Cricetulus griseus: one gene and its partner. The protein of the gene in region 1 interacts with the protein of each later gene in a pairwise test. Links are inferred from orthologs where the notes say so. Each region holds a gene or a part of one and is shown on either strand. Other genes may lie near its edges.

Region 1 (4,709 bases):
TCAACCTCTGTCTTCCCCATTGGCCATCCACCGGACAATAGGAGCTGGAGACACCGGGGCTATCCTGGCCGAGAGTGCAGCTTAGCCCACTTGCAGGTGCTATTTCACTGACCACAATGACCCCAAGTCTCCAGGGGCAGCCACAAGGGCACCTGGCATAGCACCAAGGCCCACAATGAAAGCAGGATTTAAAACATCTGGTTTGGGGAGTTGGGAAGATGGCTCAGTTGGCACATGACTCTGAAAACCTGAGTTCAACCCCCAGAATCCATGTGAAAAAACTGAATGTGTCTCAAGAAAACAATGTTAGGGCCAGTAAGCTGACTCAGCAGGTAAAGGTGTTTGAAACATAGCCTGATGCCCTGAGTTTGATTCCCAGGACCTACATAGTGGAGGAGAGGAATATCTCCTGGATACTGTCCTGACTTTGTGCTGGCTAGTTTTTAAGTCAACACAAGCTATAAAGGAGGGAAACTCAACTGAGAAAACGCCTCCATTAAGGTCTTATTATTCTTACTTAGTGTCAGTAAGTGCTATGAGAAAGCAGGCTGGGAAAGCCCTAGAGGGCAAGCTAATAAGCAGCACCCTCCATGGCCTCTGTATCAGCTCCTGCCTCCAGGTTCCTGCCCTGATTAAGTTCCTGTCCTGACTTCCTTCAGTGATGGACTGTGATAAACGAAACAAACCCTTTTCCTCCCCAAGTTGCTTTTGGTCATGGTGTTTTATCACAGCAATAGAAACCCTAAGACAAGCACCCCCTTCCACAACCCCTAGTGTACACACACACACACACACACACACACACACACAGAGAGAGAGAGAGAGAGAGAGAGAGAGAGAGAAAGAGAGAGAGAGAGAAGCTGAGTACTCACAACTCAAGAACAATACCCAAGACTAACCTCTGTCCTACACATACATACACACACACACACACACACACACACACACACACACACATACACGCGCGCACATACATGCAAAGCACCTGCTTTTCAAACCACAGCACCCAGCCTGTGCCCTGCTCACTCTGTCTCTTTTGGTCCTTAAGAGGACACTGAAACTCAGGGTGGACTACCCACACTAAATGACCCGCAGCCCAGGCAAGTCCCTTGAATGACCTGGGCTGTCACTCCATTTCAGATGCGGAAGATCTTGGTGACTGGGGCAGTGATGTGAACGAACTTGTGGGCTCTGGTGGAGTCAAGGGTGCACTCAGTGCTGTTCCTGTCCCCGCCAGCTCCTCCTGGAGCCTAGATGCCTTTCTTTGCCACATGTGGCAGAAGTGTACCTGAGCCTCTCAAGGAGGTGACATTCATTAGGGTGAAGGCTATGCAAATTCCAAGTCATGAATGGTTATTCATGAGAAGTGAGGGAATGTGACTCGTGCACCAGCCTCAGGCTCTTGAGTGGATGAGGTGCCTGCCAGCCTTAGCTGTGCCTGCCAGCCAAGGTTCTGTGCCAGCCAGGGTAGGTGCCCACTCTGGTCTCTCTGTAGACACAGCAAAGGTTAGCATGGACAATTGGAACCATAGGAGTGTGGCTACCACAGGATGATGACAGTCAGTCAGGTAACCTTTGTCTGACTGCTGGCTTCTCAGGTGGGGACTTCCAGCAGGAAGGCACAGCAAGGCAAGCTTGGGTATGGAGGACAACAGGAGGAAACCTTTTGCACCCTGTGTATAGAACCTATACCAGGGTCCTGTCCTGAAGAAGCACTGGGATGGGAGGGGCAACAAAACCAGGAAGGCCCAGGTGAGGATAAGGGGTGTCCAAACCACAAGGTGAAGTTCTCCTCCCCTTTCTTCCTTTAAGAACTATGGTAAGGGCTTCGATGTTGCTGAGAGATGCCATGTGGCCAGCACCCACAAGAGATTTGGTTCGGTCCCAGCACAGCAAAGAAAAATGACCATCTGTACACCACCTCACTGAGCCTGTCCTCATCGGGGACCTCCAGACAGATATCATGGCATGCCCACAGGCACCAAGAAACTGACATGACTTCCACAGTCAACGTGACTGTATTCTGGCCTCTCCCATGCAATTGGTGAAATGATCCTTTATCAAGTTTCTCTGGAGGCCAAAGGCCTAGCCATCCCCTGCCTACCCCATTTCCATCTTCCCCTCCATCAGCCAAAGCAGGGCTCTTCCTCATCTGAATGTGTGGCTTCTCCCTGCAGCTGTCAGCCTATCTTCACACAGAAGACAGGGCCAACCCAGCTCCTGATGATGCCATCCCAACACAGAGCCTCTGGCACCCTCCTTACTCCCCCATCACCTGTCCAGCCAAACCACATCTCCCCTCTCTTGGGAGCTATGTGTGCAGACCCCTCACTGGAGGCCACAGTTATCTGCTTCACCTTGCTGCCAACCCAGGGTTGGCAGGACAGGAGTGGGTGGGGGCCGGTGACCTGCATTCTGGAAAACATACCTTCTGGAAGCTCAGCTTCTCCCTTTAATCAAGCGAGTTAGGCTCTATTGTGTGAGTAACAGTGATGACTCTGGGTGAGTGGTGCACGAACAGGCATGGCCTCAGCCCAGCATATTATTCTATTTGCCCTCCCAATATACTGTGCTTGACATATGAGTGAGCCCAGGCCTGGGGGTGAACTCACCCACTACCTCCTACAGCTGGAATGAGATTGAGCCTCACTTTCTTAGCTTCCTTGTCATGTGCCTCCCCTAGGAGAGGGCTGGCTCTGCCAGGTCCATCCCTCCCCACCCCTACTGCCAGCCAGAGGCCCTGATTACATCCCCTTTATCTTTGCCACTTACTGGAAACAGTTCCTTTCTCCAGCAGTGCCCCGGAGGTACTGTCGCAAGGAGTCCAAGAATTCGCTCAGCTGCTCAGGACACACAGCCATTTCTTGTCGGACCAGCTGCAGGTGCTGTGGGCCGAAGTGAGAGTGAACATGTGTGTCAGGCCCTTCCCCTGCCACCCATACCTTGTTCCTGAGAGGTGGAGACAAAAGGGTCAAAATAAAACCACCATGCTTTTTATTCTTGGATGTGCAAATCAGCTAAAGGAAGGCTGGGCCAAGTGGGTGAAGTCCTTGAGGGGCCCCCACAAACAGGGCAGTAGGAATGCTGCAGGGACCCCTATCCAGAGGCATAGCTAGTGACTGGCAGGCTGTCTTTCTGACCAAATGCAGTCTGGTGACAGAGAGGGCCAGATGATTGCTCTACTCTAGGCCAGATGCTTTTTAACCAGAGTCCTGGAGCCTTGGCTCACCATGCCCCTTGGGGAGGGAAGGCTGAGACATGGAGCTACAATACTCCTCAGAGGGCTGGAAGAACAGGTCAGAGGAGGGGCAGAGAGCGTCTCACCATGTCAGTGCCTTCTTCGTCTGAGAGGCGCTGCTGCAGGTCAAACCAGAGGGTCTAGAACAAAGCACAGTGGTGCCTGTGTAGCAGGCCACCTCCAGGGAGGCTCCCAAGGCCCCACCCAGGACATGGGGTACCTGGGACCCCCCCCCAGAGTTACAGCCCCTGTTCCTATGTGCTAGGCCTAGTGGACAAGGTTGCTTAGCTCCCAGACACAGAGCAGCAACAGGGGGTCCTAGGGCCAGCGAAGTCAGGGAAATGGCAGAGAGCTCCTTGTGGTCCAGGCCTCTGAAGCACTAGGAGACTCAGAGACCAAGGTGGGCTCCCAAGAAACTGTTTTTACCAAGATTTCATAAGAGCCCTAAGACCCATAACTTGCTGACCTCACCCATAGCAGTGACCCTGGGTTTCCCATTAACCCTTGGCCTGCGTGGGATGGCCTGTACGATGCTCGTCCAAAGCCATGACCAAAAGCTTTCTGTATAAGTCTCATTTCCCAGCCTCCCTGAGCCAGCTGCTGCCCACTGTGTGATTCAGGAATGCAGAAGCCATGCCTGCTCTGTGGGCCACCAGTACCTGGCACCCAAGACAGGGCCACACTGATGTCCAGTCATTGCTATGTCACAGCACAGAACCCCAGGCTCAGATGAGTTAAGGATTATTAGGGCCTGAGTTTAAACCTATGTCTCCTCTATTCTTCCTACAATGTGGGTACCTCACAATCACAGCCTCTGTGCCTGTCTGCCCTGCCCGAAGACAGCTACATGTAACAAGCAAGAGGTGCATCCACTGTTAAAGAAAACAGTGGTGGGTGGTTGGTTCTCAAGTTTGAACAAGGGCCTGCCTCTGAATCACACCTCTAGTCTCCACTGACCTCTTGTCTGTACATCTCAAGAAAGGGCCAAGTAGATAAGATGTCTTCGAAGATTCAAGCTTGTTTCTGTCACTTAACAGGCACATGGGCAGCTCCAGGAAGGCCGGGGCCCTTTGGTCTCTCTACAATGAGATGGCCAGCCCAGCAGTACCCAGACCTGCTACCAAGGACCTCCATCCTCCCTGCTCTCCAGGCACAGTTAGAAGCCTTGCCTGGCTATCTGGGGGGCCAAGCCTGGAGCTGGCTTGAATCTGCCCATACTAATGGCTTAGGCCAATCAGAGACCTTGGAGGACCCCGCCCCATCTCCAGGATGCCTAGGTGCTCCTGGTTACCAGCAGCCTGGTTGTTAGGGCGACCGGGGTACTAAAAATAAGCTTCAAAGAGCCTCCCTCCTGGGGCACCCACTGAGTTGTTATGACAACCGGGCACAAGGTCCCCACCATGCTGCTCTCACCCTGGGCAGGGCAGCAGGCTTAAAAGGGGTGTGGGAGGGGGACCCCCGCTTCAGTCAC
Region 2 (4,572 bases), on another chromosome or scaffold:
CAGCACTCAGAAGGCAGAGACAGAAGGATCTCTGAATTCCAGGCTAGCCTTGTGCACATAATGAGACCTGTTTCAACATAATCATAGAATTAAATCAGAATTCCCTGCAACCCTGGCTCTGGAAGAGTCTAGTCATAAATCACAAAACAAAAAGCAGGAAGATGAAGATAGTTAGTTCAAAACCAGCTTGGGAAAGGCAGCAAGACCTTGCTTAGGGGGAAAAAAAAGATGTCAATGATTTCTTGAAGCCATTTTCTAAAGTTTAATACTGGTTACATTCCTCACATTGGGAGTTGTGAACCATTTTGAGGCTTTTTGTTACTGTTACTTGGTTATCAGCTAAATAGACGAGGGTCATCACCAGTCCCTCTGACCAAGCAGAACTGAAAAGAAACCACCATGGGCTTTCCCTAAGGTTTCCTGAGAATACTGTGTAATAATTACTCCTTGTTTCCTCCTATCTCCTGTTTCGACTGGGATTCCAGAAAGGCACACTTAGAGGCTGGTAGAAGTATCTTGTGTTGAGGGGGTTCAGAAGTCAAAATCACAAGGATGAGGGCGGAGTAAAGGAGAGCAGTGGTCCGGGTGGCCAGCCAGGAACTTCTGAAAGGAATTGGGAATGGGCTGTGACATCTTTTCTGTCCTTTTCTCTACCGGCCCCCTCCTCAGCAGCTAAGATGAGTCTGCTAAGATCCAGCTGCATCAAAACCACCCGCACTAGCTGGGTGTGGTGGCTCATGGCTCACCAGCCAGGAATCCCAGCGCTTAGGAGGAAGAGGCAGGATTGGGACAGGAAGGTCTTCCTCAGCTACGTAGCAATTTAAGCATCACCCTGCCCTGCATGAGACCCCATTTTAAAGCAGTGCGCTCATCTTTTGTACCCTTGCAGGACCCAGTTCAGGAAGCTGAGTCATGGAGGGGTATGCTTATGTTGTCAGCCAGCCCTCCAGTGGAGCCATTTACTAGCCTCATGCCCCCTGCTCCACATGATTCAGGCACTTGGGCTGCAGAGCTTAGGGAGGCCCAGGCCTGCTTGTTCTGGAAGAAAATGGCTCAAAGGAAGTTGGTTAAGAACTAGCCTTGGGGAAAGGAGAAGTGAGACTGGGCACATGCTATGACATGGCATTTAGAGAGCTCTGAGCTATGATTGGAAAGTAGGAAGACTCTTTCTCTAATCTCAAGGTCTCCTGTCTGGGGGAGACTGGCTTTCCCTAATGTACTGGCCATGTCCCCTGCCTCTATCATCCCTCAGAGCTCTCAGTGCACAGGCACCCTCGGGCAGAGGCTGCAGAAGCAGCCTAGGTAATACCTGCCTTCAGTGGGCAGGGGTCTTGTTCTTGCTTACCCAGCCAGGCAGCTCAGTTGTGTGTGTCCCCCTAGAGACCCCTGGGTACACAGTGGCAGTTCTGCCCAGTAGTTGTTTTGAAGTCCTAAGCAAGAGTTACCCGACAGCCCATCCTGGGGTGTGTTCTGACCTACTAAAACTTCCCACTTTCCCCTGCACCTCAGGTGGAAGAAGCTTTGACCATCAAAAACACGGACATCGCCAAGGAGCTCTGCCTCCCGCCCGTGAAACTGCACTGCTCCAGTGAGTCTACCCCAAGTATCAGGAACTGAGACGCTCAGTAGTCATAACTCCCTGTTAGGCACCTATCCTGTGACCCCAGAAAACATCTGCCATGGTAACCTTTGGGAGATTAGAGCCTATGGTCTCACGCTCCAGAGCTCTAGGAAGTCAGGCTGGGAAGCCTCTGCCCTAGAGCCACACTGAGCACCCAGAAACACCCCAGCCGGCAGCATTGCTCCCCTCAGAGATGAGGAAATGAGGCTTGGGGAAAAGCAGTAGGGCCAGAGGTGAGCCCGGATCTTTGTTCAGAATCAGCTGTTCCCACCACACTGGTGGACAGGCGGGCAAGAGACAGCTTTCTCCACCGCCCTCTTCACTGTGCATTTCCTCAACTGAGGTCATTGTGTAACACTTGCATTGCCCTAAGAGAGGCCATGCACCTCAGAACCTGCACTCACATCTGATGCCTTCCATCCACTCCCATGTCCCAGAAAGCAGGAATGAGGATGTCACTGTAACATGCTGTCAGGTTTGCTGACCTAGTCGGTTCAGATGCATCAGAGAGCAGACGAGCGAAGGACTGGTGCACCATCCTCAGGACACCCCTGAGATCACACTTTACAGTTTGGCAGTTGAGGGAAAGCCTCAGCCTTTAGCCTTCCAGGTGCCAAGGCAGTAGCTCATCTGTGTGGGTCATTAGCTTTCTGTGGCCTTCTGGCTCTCAGCTTCTACTCCCCGTAACCTCACTCTGGGTATCCACCTCAGTAAAAGCCTTCCAGTATGGGACTGCAGGAGGAGGTGTGCAGACTGTGCCATCAGAGTTCTTGGCTTAAGGCTGAGCTCTGCCAGCACTTGTGACCACCAGTCCATACTCTCTGGGACCTGATCTTTGTTGTGTCCCTGCCTGGTGACAGGCACTTTCTGGAAATCCCCTCACTATCCCAGCCAGGAAGGCATGACCATCCCAGTCTGTGTGCCCAGCTAGGACACTCTTGGGCCTTCCCAGCTCTAGCACCCTCCAGCTTAAAAAGACTCTCCTCCTTAAGACCACCTCCCAGACCAGGGAGACAGCCCAGGGGTAAGGCTTGTCACCAAGCCCAAGTTAGAGCACTTAAACCCACATGGTGGAGAAGAAAACCCACTCCCCAAAATTGTCCTAGACCTCCACATGAGCACAGCACATGCACCCACTCACATACATGTACAAACACACGCATACATGCTCCAAATACCTATTTACACAACTATATGAATAAACAAAGATAAGTGTATAAAATCATAAAGACCACCTCTCCAATGTCTTGAAAGTGAAGCTATCTACCCTTCCATGCCTTCCAGTGCTGGCAGAAGACGCCATCAAAGCTGCCCTAGCCGATTACAAACTGAAACAAGAACCCAAGAAGGGAGAGCCAGAGAAGCAGTGAGCCCTGGAGAAGCTCCAGCGGGTCACAGCTGCCTCCTGCCACCCTGCACCACATCAACGCTACGAGAAACGCACACTGTTCACCATTGCCATTGTGGTTCTAATGCAGGCAAATACACTGTTTGATTATGCCTAGTTCTACGTTCCTTTCAGCTCACTCGTATCTTTAGTGCAATTAACGTCTGTTCTGATTTATGTTGTGTCCTGAGAGCTGAAGTCTTAAGCTTTGGTGGCCTTTGAAGAGTGACAGCAAGTTTTACCTAACCCTGTGGGGGGGAGGTTGCCAGCAGAATGCCTTGTAGTTATTTGATAGAATTTATTACTGTATATTTAACAGATCTGCATATATATATATATTATAATAAAAGAATGTAAGATGATGGTTATCTCCAGTGAACCTGCTTCTTGAATCCTTCACTTATGCCCAAAGCCCCTTGGGGTTCCCCAAGGCCAGGCTGAGATGAATAAGCATACCAGTGCTTAGCCACTTGGGTGCTCTTAAAAGGGTACAGGAGATAGATGTCTGTTGCTCCTCACTGCTCTTTGGGAAGTGTAGTAAATTCACAACAGCTTCAAGGGTCCCTGCAGTAATACCACTGGTCTATGAAAGTCAGAAATAAACCCAAGAAGCTAGCTGAGGTGTTGCCTAGCTCTGTGGGCCAAGCAGAAGAGCCTCGGGGTGAGTCTCAACTATTGTCTAGGCCCAGGCACCAGTTTCGTTCTGGCAGATGGTTCTGCTAGCCTTCCAGAGGCCTCACAGGCTTTTTGTGCCCTTCTCATGTTTCACTGAAGAGTACATGTACTGCACTAGCCTTGAATTTCTTCAAAACAGGCATCTCACTGGTCATGGTGGCACCTGCCTGTAAACCCAGCACTCAATGGGTTGAGGAAGAAGATTAAAAATTAGAGGGTAGCCTGGTCTACTCAGACCATGTCTCCAAACACAGTCTGACTCAGGCATGGATAGCAGCCACCCCTGCCCCGAGCTACACAGTGGTATAGCCTAGTGAAAGGCCCTATTTTCCAGTGAAGACACTGGAACACTACCACAGTGAACTTCAAAGGCAAACTGTTTCTGATGGCGGCTTTGTTGTGCAGGCACTTGCAGGCTGACTTTGAAATCATCCTTTATTTTAAAATAGTCTGAGTTCTAGTGAAGGGCTCAGAACTTCAAAGGCCACTCCCTCCACAGTCTGGAGGAGACCACAGGCCAGAGTCCATCAGAATCTCAAATTAGACCCTGGGTGGGGCTGTGTCAGATTGCCCTGCAGGGCTCGCTGTCCTGTGCTGCTATGTAATTCAGGGCCTTGCTCGTGGCCGTGGCACAGGGCCCCACCCCTATTTGTGACTTTAAAATGAGGCACTTCTGTCCCAGCTGACATCTGAAATTCCACAGCCTAACCCTGAGGATGGGAGTGAGTGCAGCCCAAACAGGCCCGGTTTCTAGCACTTGCTGTAAAGCCACCCCTCTGCAGACAGATCAACTTCGGCCCCATGTACCCATCACTGAGCCTAAGTCTCCATAGGAATCTCCAAACACTGAAGTAGCTCTTCCATGTAATGTCTGCTATTTGGAGGGTTT

The links.
Region 2: the proteins of Necab2 (region 1) and Iscu interact in binary tests that used the Homo sapiens proteins (3 or more experiments, as listed by UniProt). The two-hybrid records come from large-scale screens. The link is inferred for Cricetulus griseus from reciprocal best matches to the Homo sapiens genes NECAB2 and ISCU.

The regions. Positions count from the first base shown.
Region 1 is NC_048596.1:196,101,233-196,105,941, reverse strand, and holds part of Necab2 (N-terminal EF-hand calcium-binding protein 2), read right to left. Parts: intron 3,379-4,709; coding exon 3,325-3,378; intron 2,886-3,324; coding exon 2,773-2,885; intron 1-2,772. UniProt on the Homo sapiens protein: May act as a signaling scaffold protein that senses intracellular calcium.
Region 2 is NC_048597.1:93,420,706-93,425,277, forward strand, and holds the end of Iscu (iron-sulfur cluster assembly enzyme ISCU, mitochondrial), read left to right. Parts: intron 1-1,509; coding exon 1,510-1,588; intron 1,589-2,905; coding exon 2,906-2,991; 3' UTR 2,992-3,376; downstream 3,377-4,572.